Astyanax mexicanus: one gene and its partner. The main gene of each other region encodes a partner of the protein of the gene in region 2 in a complex. Links are inferred from orthologs where the notes say so. Each region holds a gene or a part of one and is shown on either strand. Other genes may lie near its edges.

What was found.
Region 1: pola2 (region 2) and prim2 share a complex: the UniProt entries of both Homo sapiens proteins name them as parts of the alpha DNA polymerase complex. The link is inferred for Astyanax mexicanus from reciprocal best matches to the Homo sapiens genes POLA2 and PRIM2.

The regions. Positions count from the first base shown.
Region 1 is NC_064414.1:43,402,586-43,412,745, reverse strand, and holds the start of prim2 (DNA primase large subunit), read left to right. Parts: upstream 1-5,680; 5' UTR 5,681-5,764; intron 5,765-5,800; exon of another isoform or gene 5,801-5,820; intron 5,821-6,772; 5' UTR 6,773-6,781; coding exon 6,782-6,926; intron 6,927-7,020; coding exon 7,021-7,133; intron 7,134-7,446; coding exon 7,447-7,550; intron 7,551-8,234; coding exon 8,235-8,355; intron 8,356-9,035; coding exon 9,036-9,131; intron 9,132-9,756; coding exon 9,757-9,894; intron 9,895-10,160. UniProt on the Homo sapiens protein: Regulatory subunit of the DNA primase complex and component of the DNA polymerase alpha complex (also known as the alpha DNA polymerase-primase complex) which play an essential role in the initiation of DNA synthesis.
Region 2 is NC_064419.1:937,904-947,673, forward strand, and holds the start of pola2 (DNA polymerase alpha subunit B), read right to left. Parts: upstream 4,558-9,770; 5' UTR 4,449-4,557; intron 3,534-4,448; 5' UTR 3,495-3,533; coding exon 3,410-3,494; intron 3,328-3,409; coding exon 3,203-3,327; intron 3,092-3,202; coding exon 3,006-3,091; intron 2,759-3,005; coding exon 2,701-2,758; intron 2,329-2,700; coding exon 2,219-2,328; intron 1,965-2,218; coding exon 1,771-1,964; intron 1-1,770. Other genes in the region: dimt1l (probable dimethyladenosine transferase), read left to right, coding at 5,666-5,723, 6,163-6,236, 6,568-6,654, 6,957-7,018, 7,128-7,221, 7,335-7,384, 7,801-7,924, 8,043-8,135 and 4 more. UniProt on the Homo sapiens protein: Accessory subunit of the DNA polymerase alpha complex (also known as the alpha DNA polymerase-primase complex) which plays an essential role in the initiation of DNA synthesis.

The DNA of each region.
Region 1 (10,160 bases), on a different chromosome or scaffold from region 2:
TTGAACAACAGAGGGCTACAAACGCTACCCTGAGGAGTTCCATTTTCTATGCGATAGACTTTAGACAATGCATTTCCCACCCTTATCTGTATCGCCCTTTCACTCAAAAAATCTAATACCCAATTATACACCCTTCCCCCAATTCCTATCTTACCCAATTTTATCATTAAACCCTCTGTCCACAGCATGTCATAAGCTTTTTCAATGTCTAAAAACACAGCCACCACCACTTCTTTGTACAATTGTGCTTTTCGTACATCTGATTCTAAACATAATACAGGATCCATGGTCATCCTTCCTTGACGAAAGCCACTCTGATAATATGCTAAACTACGTCGGCTCTCAAGATGGAAAGTGAGTCTGTCAGTTACCATACGCTCCATCAACTTGCTCAAATGCGATGTAAGAGAGATGGGCCTATATCCTGTGGGACTAGAGAGGTCCTTGCCAGGTTTGCCAATAGGTACCACTACCGCCAATTTCCATGCCGAGGGAATTTTACCCAGCATCCACAGATTGTTATAAAATTCAAGAATTACAGAAAGGGAAGAGTCTGATAAATGTCTAAACATATCATAACATATGTCATCCTTTCCCGGAGATGTCTGACCAGATTTGTCAATAGCCACCTTTAATTCTCTTAAAGAAAACGCAGAGTCCAAAACACTGCCAAATACTTCTCTCCGACACAATGCCCCAGGATTCTGCAGCCGAATTCTCTTCCTGCACAGTAGCATAGTTTCACTTAAGTTAGCGGAGCTGTGCACTTTGGTAAACTCCTGGGCTAACATCTCTGCCTTTTCAGTGTCAGTAACTGCCTCCTTGCCCCCATCTTGCAACACAGGTATTAGAGTCCCTTTCCTTATTCCTTTCATTTTTTTAATCATGTGCCATACATCCCCCACATGTATGTCAGGCCCGATCATACTACAAAATGACCTCCAGTAGGCTCTCTTTGTTACTTTAACTGTTCTTCGAACTACTGCCTGCGCCCTTCTGTAATCCAGCAAATCACTAAACAGTAAAGTTTTCCGTACCTTTTGGAGTGCTCTATTGCGTATTTTCACTACCTTAGAGCATTCCTCCGTCCACCAAGGAACTGCCTTTTTCTTCTGATGAGGCTTTTTAATCGGAATAGCTTCTTCAGCAGTACTATATAAAATATCACACAATTTTTTATTACATTCATCAACATCTCCAGAAACTGTCAAATTCTGTAGCCTCAGATCACAAAGTTCAGAAAACTTCTCCCAATTTGCTTTATCAAAATTCCACCTTCTCAAAAATTCCCCCCTCATTCTGTTTACCTCCATACCAAAAACACAGACAACAGGAAAATGATCACTACCTATAGACGTAGACTGACATACACCCCAACTGCTCATCCCTGCTAAAGCAGCAGAAGAAAAAGTCAAGTCCAAAACTGACATTGTATTATTTACTATATTCAACCTTGTACCACTACCATCATTTAGACATACAAGACCATTGTCCATCATAAAATCCTCCAACACCTGGCCATTACTATCTGTGAATGAGCTGCCCCACAATGTGTTATGTGCATTAAAATCTCCACACCACACCACTTTACGATATCCCAAACCAGTAATTCTATTTAACATCTCCACAGTGATTTTCTCGCATGGATTATAAAAATTCACCAATGTGAACTTTCCACATTTGCTCCATATCTCCACCATAAGAGATTCGTGATTCCCACTAATAGGGAGAGATCGGAATACTATTCCTTCCTTTAAAAAGATCGCTACACCTCCTCCATTACTATGAGCCCTATCCCTCCGCACCATAGTATATCCACAAAGTGTAAAACTTAAGTGGGGTTTCAGCCACGTTTCCTGTATACAGATCACATCAGGCACCGGTTGACTATGAGCCACATAATGCTTAAACTCCTGTCCATTAGCAATAAGACTCCTAGCATTCCACTGTAAAATCACCAAACCATCACTAGTCATCACCTAGCTGGGAGGAAACTACTTTCCCAGCCAGGCCCTCACTGACTGACTCCCAAGTCAAACCCCTAATATCCAAATAACGTTCTGCAGATCGAACAATGATCTTAATTTTTTCAGTTCTACTACCTGTCTGGGCCGTACAATTAACTACTTCTGCTATAAACATAATGAACTTTGCCTTTTCAACAATCATCATGTCTGGTGTATTAACACTGCGGGCCTGCCGGTTCATAGCTGATCTATCACGGTCTGCTGTCCTTAGAACCTGACTCGGGGGACTCGACTCCATACTTCTTCCCTTTTCCACTTCTTTCAACGCTTCAGCATACGACAACCCCCTTACAGCTCTAACATTCTGGACTTCCATAGCCTTCTTCTTCTGTTCACAGCCCCCATACGCTGCCTTGTGATCTCCTCCGCAATTACAGCACTTAGGCTTAACACCCTCTCCACATTGCCCATATTCGTGTTCACCGCCACAAACCCCACATCTCTTTCGTGACCTACACACAGAGGCTATATGCCCATACCTCTGGCAATTATAGCATCTCACCGGTGGAGGGACATATATCCTCACCGGGAAGCTAATGTATCCCAGAAATACTCTCGCCGGTAAAGAATTTCCTTCGAACTGAATCATTACCGACAAGCTTTCTGACTGTGCTCCATCTCTGAACCCCTTTAATCTGACAGCTTCAATCACATTACCACCAGTCAGGGTTTTCTTAATCTGCTCCATTGTTAAATCAAGTGGAACTCCAGTTATTACTCCTCTCATCCTCGTCCTCTCCCTAAACAAACTTGTCGTAATCTTCCTACCTCCCAAGCTCTTAAGTTTCAAGGCTTTGTCTCGTTGCCGGTCATCCTTACAGGTAATCAGAATCTGCCCCCCCCTCAGAACCTTAGCTCCAGCCAGGTCACCTAAAGCTTTCTTTAACTCAGTAGTCAATCTAATTGGATTTAGCGGAGTCCCAGAGTCAGTATCAAATTTTATAAGCACCAAATACTCCTCCTTCCGACGCTTAACCTGCTCAGCACCATTCTCATTTCCAGCTGATTCTCTATCATCTGACAGACGCCTACCTTTTTTTTTCTGAACAGTTTGCCACGGTCCTCCACCACCCCAATTCCCGCTCCTACTCCCTAACCAGTCCGACTCACTCCCCTCTCCTGCGTCACTTCCGTCCATCTCTCCTCCCTCCAGCCCGCCCAGGAAGTCGTAACCGTCTCTGTCCCTCTCGCGCTCTTCTCAAGCTATATTTTAGCTCCGCCTTAACAAGCTAAACTCTAGCTTCTGATTGGCTACTCCAACTAAAGCTCTAGCTTCTGATTGGCAACTAAATTAATGATTTTTTTTAACCCGTCCTGACCGCTGCACATAAGCACTTATTTACTTCAGTTTTTATAAACGCATATAAAATATGGTTTATTATTAAAAACACTGCTCACTTATTTGGACACTCCACATATTGTTTTTGTGTTGTGAAATGCGCTAAACAATTAAAGCTGTGTAAATGAGCATGATGTATTTATTTCCAAGAACAAAGGACAGAAAAGCTGGTCTGCAAATAAAAATTTAATCCCATTATTAATTTAGTACTACACAATACATCTGTAACATGACAGTATGTTTTGTGAATATTTATAACAAGTTTTTATCTCAATTTAATAACACTCATGTTATCTCTGTTTCACTTTTGCGATTTTATTCACACCAGAAGTAAACAAACAGCGCATTCATCGCGAGATCCTGTGTTGTTCACGTGGGCTGCAGGTGGAGACTGTCCGACCTGACTTCTCCGCTCCTCCACCCCGCCCACCTGCACGCGGCTGCTCTCGCTGACCAGCAAGGCGAGGCGCAGCCGCATCTCGAACAAGCCTAAAATCACCTAGATCACTCTAAACGTGATCACACACACAGCTTATCCAGTCCATGTAGAAAAATGTGGCCAATAGAATTAGACTCTCTGGGTGTGTGTGTGTGTGCGCGTGCGTGCGTGTGTGTGTGTGTGTGTGTGTGTGTGTGAAGCAGTACTATAACAGGCTGTGTGTGTGTGCGTGTGCGTGTGCGTGTGCGTGTGTGTGTACTATAACAGTGCTGGTACAGGGTCGTCTGCCGTATTTGAGCCAGTACACACCTGTGTTCAGATAATCAACAGGTCAGGTGCGTCAGTCCTTCACCAGCACCAAAACGACTGCTCAGTGACACTGATGTAGAACAGTCAGAAAGTGACACTGGGCCAGCTGTGGGCCAGAAGTATTTTTCTGCTTGCGACTCTAAACCAGCAGTGCCGACTTAGAAACGAGTCCGGGCCAAAGTCGCTGGCTATCTGGGAATAAACCACGGTACAATACTCATTCCTGTTACTGGAACTCACTCCTGTTACTAGCACTCATTCCTGTCACTTTTAAAGTATCGGAAATGAGTTTTTAGCATAGAATTATCAAAAACATAAAGAAAGCTAAATGGCGGCCATTAAAACAATGAGCACATTCTACTGATTTTCCCAAAATCTGTATTTTAAATATAAACCATTAAAATCTAATAATTAATTTAGGTAACAGGGCAGTGTTGAGATTAGTCATAGTCCTAGTTACAATAAGATTAAATATACAAAAAAAAAACTAATGAGCGAGCTTAATTAGGTCTTGTTAATATACATATATTAAAACATGGGATGGAATGGGATTTGGAGCCTCTGAAGGATTTTAAGTTTATAGTTAGGGAGTGAGGACAGGTAAAAAATGCTATTTTCTCAGTGTTTCTCAGTTTTTATTAATGTTTTTAATTACATATATTATTTATGCATGTAATTACCTGCGGAATATGCTTTATACGCCAGATGTTTAAATGCCAAAATAAGCCTGAAATGATCTGGTTAAATGATTACTATATATATTTTGCAAATCACCATAAAATCTAATTAATATTAAAAGTATCTGCGTGTTTTCAGTTTATTTATATAAAAGGAAAAACCGCTGCTGTCCTCTAGTGGACAAATATCAAATTGACCAGTAAGAAGGCCAATATACTTTTTTTCTGGTGGGCTTTTCCTGGCCTGATGCTGATGGGGGGCATTTGTTGGCCTGATATTGACTTAAATCTGACCATGTTACATTAGCAAATAGATATAAAAATATAAAATATAAATCCAAAGAAAAGTTACAACGTATAAAATAAAGTGTAAAATAAAATTGGGACAGAAAGTAACACAGAGTTCTGGAACCAAGTTCTGCTTGGTTGGATCTTTCAGCCTTTTCAAGTTCACACGGTTGTTTCTGAAATCATAAAGTTTAGCTTCTGCAATGTCATAAAATTTATTTCAATCCAGAGTTGCATTAATTTTTCACCAAGATCTTGCAGCATTGATGATGGTAGAGTCTTCTCCAGCACATCCTAAAGATTCTGACTAGGTTTAAGGTCTGGACTCTGGTGGTGAACAATCAATGTGTGAAAATGATGATCTCATGCTCCCTAAAGCACTCTTTCACAATTTCAGCCCTGGCATTGTCATCTTGATGGAATAACCTGAGTTAACTTGAGGTAAAGAGTGAACCATTGTCAACACAGTTCTGGTTCCTCTCTCTCTGCTGCACTGCAGGGTTTGAACACATGGCGCCGCTGTTTCATTTCAGTGCAGCGGAGCGGGGCGGCTCGAGCGCTGCTCTGATTGGTGCGTTGTGGCTCTCGCGTCATTTTCGCGCCGTTAGTTCGGATCAGGCTGTTGGCGGGACTCGCGCGACAGGAAGAGACTCGGCGGCGGGCTGTTTGTTATTGTAAAGTAAAGGTAATGTTTTTAACCGTTTTAAAGACTTTAACGGCGCCGCGGGAGCAGTGTTTACTGTGAGGACTATTTTACACTTGGGGAGAAGCGCTAGTAGGCTGTTTAAAGCTGTGTTGTGTAACTGGCGCTTATTGTAGCTCGGATACGGTAACCAGCTAACCTAAGGTTAGCTAGCGGGTAACTCTAACCTAGATAACTAGCTTTAAACTAGCGTTTACTGGTATTATTGGCTGTATAGCTCGGCTAGCCAGCCAGCTAACTAACTAATTAAGTAACTACCAGCTTAGATAGTTAGCTTTGAATGAGTCGCCTGTTTGTGTAGGTTAGCTGATATAAAGAGCTACATTATGTGGTTAAAATATGGGTTAACAGTGACTTCAGGGTGACTTAAGATTTAAGGGCACATTACTACGTTTTTTAAGGCTGAAATTGTGATGTAACAACATATTAAGAGTTTGTTTAGTATAAATGACTTGTAGTTATGTAGTGCATGAGTATAAACTGCGAACAAGCTATTAAAAGTGTACAGTAAAGAGCAAAAATATGCAGAAGAAACAAAATGGACTTCTTTCAATAACATTGCGATATCACGATATGGATTTTTATTTTTATTGAACTGTTTTCTTCCCATATGACACATTCTGACACCATTTCTAGGACAAAATGTTAAAATGTAGGTTATGACATGGTTTAATCATGTTTTAAAGGGTACTGGAGCAACAATTAATTTAACTTGTTTTACATTTTGGGTTAGTATTCAGAGCTGGGTCTGAGGTCTTATGGGATATGCTAAATTTTTAAGAAAGCAGCCAAACATGTGAACTAACAGTTACTTTAAACACACACCTAATACTGTCCAGCTATCTGCCCACACCAGCCTTGATTTTGAAAGAAATTAATGAATAAGGTGTTCATAAAGTGTACAGATACTTTCTAATTGACAGTTACCTAGCAGAAGGCATCAGATGTTAAAACTAGTGAAAATAAAATGGGCTGTTTTTCTTTGCTCAGAAAGAGACCATGCAGTTCTCAGGCAGAAGGAGGAAGCTTGCAGTTCACTCTCAGAATGATCTCTACAGCCACTGTCTGCAGCTGTATGTGCAGCCTCCTCTGGAGAACATATCCCTCAGCGAGTTTGAGACCTTTGCAGTGGAGAGGCTGAAATGTAAGTCGAGACCACAGCTCCTGGTCATCGCTTCTCATTGTCCATGTCCTACATTTGTTTTGTCTAATTATTTTTTTTATTTTCCCATCTAAAGTGTTGAAGACTGTGGAGAACCTTGGTGTCAGCTATGTGAAAACAACGGAGCAGTACACCAAGAAACTTCACGCTGAAATCTCAAACCTTAATTTCCCACACAAAGCAGAAGTGGTAAGGAAATGTTCTATTTTTCACTTTTAGCATTTAGATTTAGCTGATACATAAAGGTTCCTCACACTGTGATTTAAAAGCTATTAAATCTGCTTACAATGGTTGTCTTTTAGACAAGGAAAAAATTGGCTTTGGATAGATTTACTTTTGAGAAATGTTACCTGATATTGTTTGTACTCTGGAGTAGCTTAATCTTTAGGTCTTGCTTTGCTGCAGTGGCAAAATGTTTATATTTGATTTGTTATTCATTTTACTGAACTTGTTACCCTGTTGTAATGGTAGTTGTTTAAAGTTCACTGTTTCTCTATATTAGGATGAGGCAAGTTTTACCAAAAGTCAGGTTGGACCATCTGAATATGAGAAGCGAAGGAAAGACCACATCTCTCATTTTATTCTGCGCCTGGCATATTGCCAAACGTAAGTGTTCCCCTTGTTCCCCCCTTTTTCTTTCTTTCCATAAAGGTACTTGTACTTGGGTCTTAATCTTAATGCTTCATTCAGTATTTCTGTTTCCATCCTATGTTTAACACTTTGGTCATTCTGAATTGCCACTTAAATCATTTGATAGCTGCCACTTCACATGAACTAAGGCAGAGATGTTGAACAACTTAAACACATAAGATATATGCAGAAATAGAAACTAAAATATATAGAAATAAAATATATAATAAATATATATCTTTAAATCACAGTAAAAATAATATAACTGAATTGTAGGGATGCGTAGTGCCCCAAATGTGCCCCCCCCCCCCCCAGGTTTTAAGTTATTTTGCCCTTTTGTGTGACCTTTTCAAAAAATTGTCACAAATTCTATTAATATTATATCTAGATTTTTGTCCTGTCCTTCATCCAATTAAGATAAACTAAGAGGGACAAGAGATTGTAGAGATTGCAATACTATTTGCAATCCCATTGCTATTGCAAAACCATTGCAATACTAAACATATTTTGAATCTAAATGTACGATGTAGTGCACTGTTTTTATAGTGGAGATGTGGACAAATGCATATAAAACCAACACAAATCCAGTTCCTTTATTTTATTTATTTATTTATTTTTTTTTTGAAAAACCGAAAGAAACTAAACTAACCTTTTTTTTAGGGAGGATCTCAGACGGTGGTTTATCCAGCAGGAAATGGACCTTTTTCGCCACCGTTTCAATGACCTCAGCTCCAAGTATAAGACTGAGTTTCTGCATAAAAATAATCTGAAATATGACACGGTAAGCATTTTATTTTGTGCTTGATTGAACAGTTCATCAGGTATTAGCTAATTTTAGGTTTGATTTTGAAAGCTGTGATAATCTTTATTATTTGTTCCTGTGACGAATCTAACCTGATAAACACACTTAATACACAGGCCCTCAGACCTGATTTTAAGAATATTGTGCTGTAAAGAAAAAGCATGTGTGTGTTTGAACAGCAGGTGGAGCTAAATGCTCACTGATGGATAAATGGCACCTGCTGTTTTCATGAGGAGGCTGACTTTATTATGTCTGTAGGGGGTTTTAAATGCCCATAAATATGGTGTATTAAAGCTAAAGCGCTTTAGGGGGGACCATGGAAATACTTTATTATTCTCTTAGTCTATATTTTATTGGCTAAATATCAGAGTTTTTGTAAACTTGGTGAACTAGCAATAATAATATTTCCTCAAAGCTTGGATATCGATATTCTACATGTTAACAATGTGGTCATCCTTTAATTCATGAGGTCCATGAGCAGTCGCTAATTTTACATGTATTTATGGTGCTTATTATGGCAACAACCAATAATCATTTGTTATTGCAATATGTTATAGCATGTGTTCTTCTCGGTCATTTTTTGTGCTTGTACTCTGATGTTTGCTTTCTGTTATGTTGATCTATGTTTGTAAGTTGCTTGCATTCTCTCCCTTTGACAGTTAAGTGCGGATGAAAAGATGAATCTGAAAGATCAGCTCATAAACTCCACTTTTGGTTTTAGTGGAATCACTATTGTGGAGCAGGATTTCTACAAGGTAAGACCAAAATTCAGATTCTTTCCATCTTACAGTAATCAAGCAGTTTAGTCTGTTTCTGAGATACAGAGTTACTGATTTGCTTTAAATGAAAAAAAAATGAAAATACTTGAAATATTTGAAAACATTTGGCTGAAAGATTTCACAGGTTTTCATTTTGACATTTTTCTTACTATTGAAAATATCCCAGTAGACATACCAACAGTACTTTTGTCTCTTAGTGCAGTTCTAATTATGAATTAATTTCAGCAGTGCTAGTCACACATTTATCACAACAGTGTAGTTTTAGTTATACATTTACCTTAGCATTACTAATCAAGTCCCATGTGAATGGAATTTACACAAAAATAAACAACCTTTGGTAGCTTAGCTAATGTTACTATTAAAAACAGTGTTTGTTTAAACTGATACCAAGCATACGTGATTTAATAGAATGTGTAAAAATAAACTTAAACTACTTGTTTGCACACTTTCACTGCCTCTCCCCTGTACCCTTTGCGTTCTATCCAACAGGGTTTTAATACACAACACTTCTGTTTATTATGTAGTATATGTATATGCAATTTAAGCAGAGCCACAATATTGACAAAGACTGCCAATCATTTTATATTGTACATTGATGCAGGTCCCTTTCCAAGATGCCTTGGATTTAATACGGACGAGGAAAGTCTTCCTGAGAGGTGGTTATGCCTACATTCCCCACCAGGATATTGTCACAATTGTTCTGAATGACTTCCGCACAAGACTTTCCAAAGCTCTCGCAGTAAGTTCCTTGTTTTACTGTTCAATATAATCTCTCTTCTGACTTTCTATTCTTTTTGTTTTGTAAAACATGCATATCCTTTTAGAAATTATTTGTTTATATATATATATATATATATATATATATATATATATATATATATATATATATATATATATATATATATATATATATATACACACTACCGTTCAAAAGTTTGGGGTCACATTGAAACGTCCTTATTTTTGAAGGAAAAGCACTGTACTTTTCAATGAAGATAACTTTAA
Region 2 (9,770 bases):
AGCTACAAAAGCTACAATGGGAAAGTCAAAGGAACTCAGTGTGGATCTGAAAAAGCGAATTATTGACTTGAACAAGTCAGGGAAGTCACTTGGAGCCATTTCAAAGCAGCTACAGGTCCCAAGAGCAACTGTGCAGACAATTATACGCAAGTATAAAGTGCATGGAACAGTTGTGTCACTGCCACGATCAGGAAGAAAACGCAAGCTATCACATGCTGCCGAGAGGAGATTGGTCAGGATGGTCAAGAGTCAACCAAGAATCACCAAGAAGCAGGTCTGCAAGGATTTGGAAGCTGATGGAACACAGGTGTCAGTCTCCACAGTCAAGCGTGTTTTACATCGCCATGGACTGAGAGGCTGCCGTGCAAGAAAGAAGCCCTTGCTCCAGAAAAGGCACCTTAAGACTCGGCTGAAGTTTGCTGCTGATCACATGGACAAAGATAAAACCTTCTGGAGGAAAGTTCTCTGGTCAGACGAAACAAAAATTGAGCTGTTTGGCCACAACACCCAGCAATATGTTTGGAGGAGAAAAGGTGAGGCCTTTAATCCCAGGAACACCATGCCTATTGTCAAGCATGGTGGTGGTAGTATTATGTTCTGGGGATGTTTTGCTGCCAGTGGAACTGTTTTTTTGCAGAAAGTAAATGGGATAATGAAGAAGGAGGATTACCTCCAAATTCTGCAGGAAAACTTAAAACCATCAGCCCGAAGGTTGGGTCTTGGGCGCAGTTGGGTGTTCCAACAAGACAATGACCCAAAACACACATCAAAAGTGGTAAAGGAATGGCTAAACCAGGCTAGAATTAAGGTTTTAGAATGGCCTTCCCAAAGTCCTGACTTAAACCCCATTGAGAACATGTGGACAGTGCTAAAGAAACGGGTTCATGCAAGAAAACCATCACATTTAGCTGAACTGCACCAATTCTGTCAAGAAGAGTGGTCAAACATTCGACCTGAAGCTTGCCAGGAGCTTGTGGATGGCTACCAAAAGCGCCTAGTTGCCGTGAAAATGGCCAAGGGACATGTAACCAAATACTAATGTTGCTGTATGTATATTTTTGACCCAGCAGATTTGGTGACATTTTCAGCAGACCCATAATAAATTTATGAAAGAACCAAATTTTATGACTGTTTTTTGTGACAAACATGTATGTGTTCCGATCACTCTATCACAGAAAAATAAGAGTTGTAGAACTTATTGAAAACTCAAGACAGCCATAACATTATGTTTTTTTACAAGTGTATGTAAACTTTTGACCACAACTGTACCCTGGTTCCTATTTTAGCAATCTGCAGGTCAGCCGCTAACTGCAAATCCTGCAGCTTGATTTAGGGAGTGTTGGTATGTCTTTGCTATCATAACAACAGGAAAAGTACAATGCGAAATAAGCCAATCAGCACGTCACTTGCATCCCCTTTAAGAGATAAGTGATCACGCTGTAACGTTGCGCGAGCAGGTAAGGACAGTAACCTATATTTTGTGTTAAGGTAGAATTAATAATGTTATTTAATTTTGTATTCTGTCCATCTCCACATGTGCACAACAACCTGGGGTGTATGTGCGTTCTGCACAAGCAAAGATAGCAATGATCGTCCGTGGCTCACCGGAGGTTTCCGTTGCCAAGATAGCAATATGGCAGAGATTTTTGCTGTGTTACTTATTTGTTGTACTGTCTGGTGTCCACCACAAAAGTATGGGTCACATAACCACAGTAGGCACCCCTACAATAACTACGAGTAGAAGAGAAGAGTGAACTGTTCAGAACGTACCATCTCGCACATCTCTGAGCCTCTGGAACATGTATTTATAGGAGCTGGTGAGTGAGTCCTCGCGTCCCTCGAGCAGATCCACCTGCACAGCGGTCTGGCCTTTCCCTGACCAGCGGGGACCCTGCACAGCCCCGAACATGGCCACCACCTCCCCCCGAGCTCCACGCATGCTGTACTTCTGAGAGGGGGTCGCGCTGCACACAAAACAATACACAGGAAAGGTCATGTAGTCTAGCTCCAGCGTAAAACAACTACGAGGATTAATCTGTAAAGGCACATGCATCTCTAGCAGTTATAGAAATAGGTAAGTTTATGGACTTCCTTTCCATTTTAATAGTTAGTTTGCTTTTCAGAGGAAAACAATGTTAAAATTATGAGATCTAATAACATTACGTGTAAATTATAATGTGTAGAATGTGAAAGTTATGAATAAACACGGCGTATTCACCAGGGGGAGAAGCTGGCAGGAGAGAGCAGCAGACCGGGACTGGGGAGGCGAGCAGCACTGCGCTTAGACTGAGGATGTTCTGGGGTGGTAAGAGCACGTTTCTGGGAGCCCTTACAGAAAAATACACAAACAATGCTCATATTAAACAATACAAGGACATTTAAAACATATACAGATGTCCTAGAATCTGAATTTAAGATAAACAACTAAGGCCTGGGCAAGAATTATACCATAGGCTATATTTCCTTTTAATGTAAAATCCCCATTCAAAATGCTGTGTAGTCCAAGACCAGGATTAACATCTGTGTCAGTATCAAACAAAAAGGAACAACTGATTAACTGACAAGTCATTGTAATACAATCACAATTATTCACACTTTTATAACTAATATTCAAGCCCATGTTAAGGTGTTACTGCTGAAAGCACTAAATAAAACAAGACACCTTTTAAAATGATTTAATATGAATTTAAAGTGAAATACCTTGGCGGGGGTTGAATACGAATCCAGTAAATTTTCTTCCTCCTCCTCCGCTTTGATTCTGTTCACACTGAGTTAAGAAATTGACTCACTTTATAGACTAACACTTAATTTCAAACTAGGGACCACATGGGGGGCAGAGTGGTCCAGCGATCCACTATGACCAGGAGATTGCTGGTTTGAATCCCGGTTATGCAGCTTGCCATCAGATGCCAATTGTGCACACATCAGAGAGTGCACAACTGACCTTGCTCTCTCTGGGTGGGTAGGTAGCAACAGGGAACTATTTCTAAAAGATAAAAGGATACAGGTCCTGGATGGAATGCACATCTCTGGTGTTGTTAATCTTGCTCCCCTTTGATGAGCTTTTGCCTTTATGTTTCTTATTCAAAACCTGCAAAACAAACAAAAACAAGAAGGTACATTGTATTTTACAAACTATAAGACGCACCAGATTTTAAAGCACATTAAGTGACACTAGTCACTTTTTACTGGATTTACTCACCTCATGTTCGAACGTCTCTAGATTATTCACGGTGAGTTTTAACAGGCCTTTTGTTGTGCTGAAAGCCACCCACTCATTTACAATATCCTCTCCTTTAATTCTGTGGCATAAGCACTGCTCCATCACTGAAAAATAGAAATAAAATGATTACGAACACTTACACACAATACACAAACACTGAATCTGATACTTCTAATCTACACTCACTCTTGTCCAGCACGGCATCATCCTCACACGTTATATCAAACGTCTCCAGCTCGTCCTTTATCTTCTCACTGGTAACGTTCGCCATCGCTCTTCTTACCAGCCCAGTGCACAAATCTGAAAAAAACTGTATCCAGTGTTTGTGGATTAAAATCTATGTGTGAGTTATTTTAACACATGCCTTTTTATACTGAAATATAACATTTGAATTTAGTGACGAGTGTGTCGATGAAGCTCCACAGCTTAATACTGTGGATCAAGTCAATAAAGAAAAATCATTAAATCAATTATTGATCACGTATTGATTGTACATATTTTATCTCTCAATTATCCCATTTTAAAATAATAATTTGAGTAATCAAATTAATACAATTAACCTCCCAGCCCTAATAATTACATCTCAAAAGATGGATTATCTCTGCTGGGGTGTTTAAGTGTGCTTCTTATTATAAGAGCTAGCTGGCTAATTTCTTATACAGACCTGCTTGTGTTAACGTAAGCTAACTAAACACAAGCTTAGATAGTTAATTAGCAAGCTAGCTAGATAGTTAGCTATTAAGCTAGTTAGTTAGTTAGTTAACTCAGTTTACAAGCTAGGTGGTTAAAAAGCTAGTTAGCTAGTTAGTTCGTTATCTGGCTAGCTAACCAGTTCGTAAGTAAGGTACTTACTTACATAGTTAATTAGGTAGCTAGCTAGTTAGCAAGGTAATTTGTTAGTTAGTAAGCTGGCTAGTTAGTTAACTAATTAGTTAGCAAGCAACATAGTTAACAAGCTAGTTATTTAGCAAGCTAGACAGCTACCTAGTTAGTTAGCTAGGTAACTAGTTAGTAAGCTATTTAGTCGGCTAGTTACTTAGTTAGTTAGTTAACTAACTAACTAACTAACCTAACCTACATTCACTTTGCTGACTTTAGCTACAGCTACAACTGTAAACAGACAAACAAACCCCCGAATAAACACATTCAGACTACAGCTACAATAAACCAGTCAATAAAAAACATCTTTAAATCGCTGATTAAAAGAATAAACTCTATATTTTACCTGTTAACCGCGTTAAAGCAGCGCGCGCTCTGTCATCACTGTGTTGAGCTCCGCTTCAGTTTGCCGCGAAAACGGAGAAAACGTCACATCCTGTGCGCGGTTATCTCCTCCTGACCGGCAGGAGGCGCTGCGCTCAAACCGCTAACCCGCCGCAGCGCACAGAGCCCTGCGTGACGAGACTGCCCACTTACTGTTAGCGAAAATAACTGCCAACCACTAGGGGGCGATCGCAAGAAGGTCCTCAATGAATGGGACTGAATAGAGCTAAACGGCTAAAACCTCAAATTAAAAATACTATTTAAGTACATGTCCAGAATATGAATTTAATATTGGAGAGTAGAATAAAGTATTTCGCACAAAACTCAAAGAAAACACACCTGCATGTTGTTAATTTTATATAGTGAACGATTTTTGTACAACAGAGACGCTAGCATGTCTGCTAATATGTGATATGAGTCCTACTTGAATTTGAGTTTTAAATTTTTTTTTTAAAAAGACACAAACTGAACATAGCATAAAATACAGAACAGACAGAGGCAAACACATAACATGGGCTTACATAAACCCTTTAAAAATATATTTTAACAATTAAGGTAATTTTAACAAAATAATATCACATTCCAACTATATAACACAAAAAAACAAAAGCAGTGAATACAAAAATGTCACAATATATTAATCAAATTATCTTTCAAACGTCTTTTATAATGTTTCACAGACGAACATTTCTCTGCCAAATGGTTAAAACCCTTTCACAGATTTGTCCCCTGATATCTTACAGAAAATTGACACTAGAAACGAGAAATTTAAGAAGATGGAGATCTAAAGATTGACGAGTTGATTATTGATGAATTTCTGCATTTCTAATAAAGTAAATATATACATTTATGAATAGCTTTATCTGGGATATTTCCATGAATTTAATACATTTTATAAATAAATATACATATTTGACAAATATTAATATTATAAATAGAGAGAAACTGAAGCTTCTGAAATAGCGTAGCAGATTTGATCCATAAACTCATTTCTTTTTTTGTGATTTTGCTCAATTGATCTCGTTCTCTGATGGTCAGACCAATCCAGAAGACATTGTTAAGTGGGAACTCTCCTCTCTACAGACTCTTTGGTGAACACACACACATATAGCTATAAACACACACGTGTTTAGAGGTTTCTTATCGAAATCCTGCTTTAAATGATCAAAAATCAGCAAAATGCCGAAAGTAAAAGCTGAGAAGAAATCTCGACAACACCAGGAGGTGAAAAGTCAAGGTAGGAGCTGCTAAAAGTGGTTGTTTTAATCGTATTTATAATATAGATAGACAACCCTGCCTTGTGTCCGCCTGTATTTAACTTGTATTATATGGAACTCTAATAAGTAACTTACTAGTGTATCTTAAACTTACTTTATTTCAGTAATGTAGTTAAAAACGTGAATCTCATATATATATTATATAGATGTATTAAACACAGAGTGATCTAATTTAAGCGTGTTTTTTATTGTACATGATTATGAAGCTTACAGCCAATAAAAACTCAAAAATCAGTGTATCAAAAAATTAGAATATTATATAAGACCAATTGGTACTTTTGGCAGTGTGCCAAATCCTGCTGGAAAATGAAATCCTCATCTCAATTCCTGCACCTGCGTTAATGAACTGAATACAAGTCACCAGTAATTAAATTCTGTCATTTTCTCTTCATGTTTCAGGGATTATGTTTAACACTGGTATTGGGCAGCATATCCTGAAAAACCCTCTGGTGGTTAATGGTATTATTGAGAAGGTGGGTCTTTGTTAATTCTGATCTTATTAATGAATTCATGTTTGTTTATTATCTTCTGAAGAACAGATTATTTAATTTATAGATGTTTAGGGCATGTTTATGTGGAACAGTATCAGAACTGTGGGCTGATGTGATGCATGTACCTTTCAAATAAATCATCTCTCAGTGATAATACAAATACATTTTTAAAAAGTAGTATTTGGTGTTTATAAATTGTATCTAGTATTAATAATGTTATAATATATTAAATGCATATATGATAGGATGCTCATATGTAAGGTGTTTTATTGTATATTATTATTATTATTATTACTATTATTATTTTTCTCAGGCGGCTCTGAGACCTACAGATGTGGTTCTGGAAGTGGGACCTGGAACTGGTAACATGACGGTGAAGCTTCTGGAGAAAGCAAAAAAAGTAAATAATAATAAGTTCGGATAAAGTAGATTATATTTGATCAGCCCATGTAACACTGATCAGTTATTTTGGAGAATAACTGATTAAATGATAAAACTTGATCAGCATGACTATCAGAGGTGTTAAATGACAAAAACATAAAGTCTGGTGTAAAGATTCACTATTATATTTTTTCCATTTGATATAGTGAAGAAGAAATGTTTTTTTTATATATATATTTTCTTCCTAATTTCTTCCCCTCACAATCTATAGTAAAGTTGTAATAACATTGATATAAACGCAGTGTTTATTTATTTATGTAGGTAGTAGCGTGTGAGTTGGACACCAGGCTCGTGGCTGAACTGCAGAAAAGAGTGCAGTGCACGTAAATACCTGTTTTTATTCTTTACAATTATTCTGTGTTATTATTTTAATGTTGGTTAAATCTTTATTTTGCAGTAGAAACTCAGTTCTGTGTAAAATATCATTTACAGACCCCTGCAGTCCAAACTTCAGATCTTAATCGGAGACGTTCTGAAGACAGAACTGCCGTTCTTCGATGTCTGTGTAGCAAATTTACCATATCAGGTACAATATACAATTTTTTTACATTACATTTTAGTTAGTCCTCCAGTATTATTTTTTTTTTAGAAGTTATATTTTAGTTACATATGAGTATTGTAATATTTATTATTTTGCAGATTTCTTCACCTTTTGTCTTCAAGCTCCTCCTTCACAGACCTTCCTTCAGGTATGAATTTTAACATTTATTAAAATAAAAAAGCTCCCTATAATCAACCTGCACACTGATTAAAACAGAATTTCACATTATATGTTGTAGGAAAGGGTAGTGGAATTGTTGTTGTAATAACAGAATTAAAATTTCAGTACTGATATATGATAGAGTTCTTTTTTTTTTTTATAGGTCCTGTTTCTGTATGTTTTTAGTAAATTTTCTATTTTATTTAGTATATTAAGTTTTGTATACTTGTGTAACTCTGCTCTAGAGAATTACCTGAGCCTCATCACAAGCATTTCAGTTCACTTGTGTTCTAAAATGCAAATAACAATTAAATTGCATGCAAAAGCATTGAAATTTGGATGTCAATGAAAATAGAATATGAACAGTGTAAATATCCTACATAAATAAAATCTACATTTTTAAAGGTGCGCAGTGCTGATGTTCCAGAGGGAGTTTGCCATGCGTTTGGTGGCGAAGCCTGGAGAGAAACTCTACTGCAGACTCTCCATCAACACACAGCTACTGGCCAGAGTGGACCACATCATGAAGGTCAGTCAGCTTTACTATTTCAGACAAGACAGGACTTAAATACAGGATAGTTTGGGCAGCAGCACAGTGTAAAGTTGAGCTGCTGTTTTCAGTTGATTGATTTCTTGTTTGTTTTTAGGTCGGGAAAAACAACTTCAGGCCGCCTCCTAAAGTGGAATCCAGCGTCGTCAGGATAGAGCCAAAGAATCCGCCACCACCAATCAACTTTCAGGTACAGGAATCAGTTTTCAGAAAGATTTCAGAATAGGTGTGGGCGATATGGTTCTAAAATAATATCACGATATTTCAGGGTATTTTTGCGATAACGATATACTTCATTTCAGGAATATAGTATAAGAGTATAACTGTATAACCATAATGTGGCAAAATAAATAATATAGCATAAAATAATATAATTCAGCAAATAATATTGCAGAATATTTAGTGCATGCATATAAACTGCAAACTAAAACAATTATACAATAAATACACCTAAAGCTTCACAGTAAATAATAGACTACTTTTAAGACAGAACAGCCCTATTATCACAATATGGATTTTTAGTATCATGACACTTCTGTGTCACGATATATTGTATACGATATTATATTGCCCACCCCTATTTATATAATATATAGAATATATATATATAATTTATTATGAGGTATGCAGTATGGAGGATATGCTGGAGTGGATATGACCACAAGTACTGAGTATGTTTATCTGGGTTTTTTTTTTCTGTAGGAGTGGGACGGCCTTGTCAGGATTGCATTCGTCAGAAAGAACAAAACACTCAGTGCAGCGTTCAAGTAAGTACTTTATATTTTTACACCAACAATATTTGGTCCAGTTAAAACAGACTCTGGTTGGGTGCTCATTATGTTCATTGTTTGCTCACGTGTTTAGTTGTTACACTTGCAATTTTACTTCTGTGAAACCAAGTGAACTAACAAGAGAAATGAAGAAAAATAGCTCAGCTATATTTAAATAATAATAATAACTGTGCTTTATATCATGTGTTTGAAGGTCTACTGCTGTTGAGCAGCTTCTGGAGAAGAACTACAGAATTCATTGCTCTGTTCACAACGTAGTAAGTATAAACAAAATCTCAATTGTGTGTTTTCTCATTTTAACAACTTTTATCATGCACATCTTGTCATTAGGTCTAATTAAAATGTGATGCAAATTATAATTCTCACATTTCTATATTAATAGGAAGTTCCACAGGACTTCAGCATTGCTCAGAAGATTGAAGATGTTCTTCGGGAGGCGGAGTTTAATGAAAAGCGAGCGAGATCCATGGATATAGACGACTTCATGGTGTAAGTTAATATATGCAGTGATTTTGATAAGTGATCTCGATCTCTATCTGATGTTCTCCATCTTTATGACGTTTCTTTTTGTTCTATAGACTTCTTCATGCTTTCAACTCTGCTGGGATCCACTTCTCATAAATCCAGCGAAATAAAAACAGCTACAGTATATTTGGACTGAATATTGATGCAGTTTTTGAACTCTGCTTCATGAAGCTTCTCTGCGTTGTGTGTCTGAGTGACACCATGTTCTGGACAAGCTATGGAGAGGACCTGTCACCTAATTTTTGAACTGTTGGTGCTTTTCTGTGGATTTAAGAGAGAGATTTCACAGGAGGAGCCAAATCCATGAGAGTAATGTGAACTCTGGATGGATGTGAAGCACAGAAATGTACCAGAATCTGGATGTTTCTGGTAGATACAGATTTTATAAAGGACTTTCTGCAGATCTCAGCATCATGAACTACTTTAGATTACACCTTTTTTCCAATATAAATAATTCATTTAAAGTTGGGAGTAATTTTCAATGTTTCTTGTATAAAGTACCAGCAGAA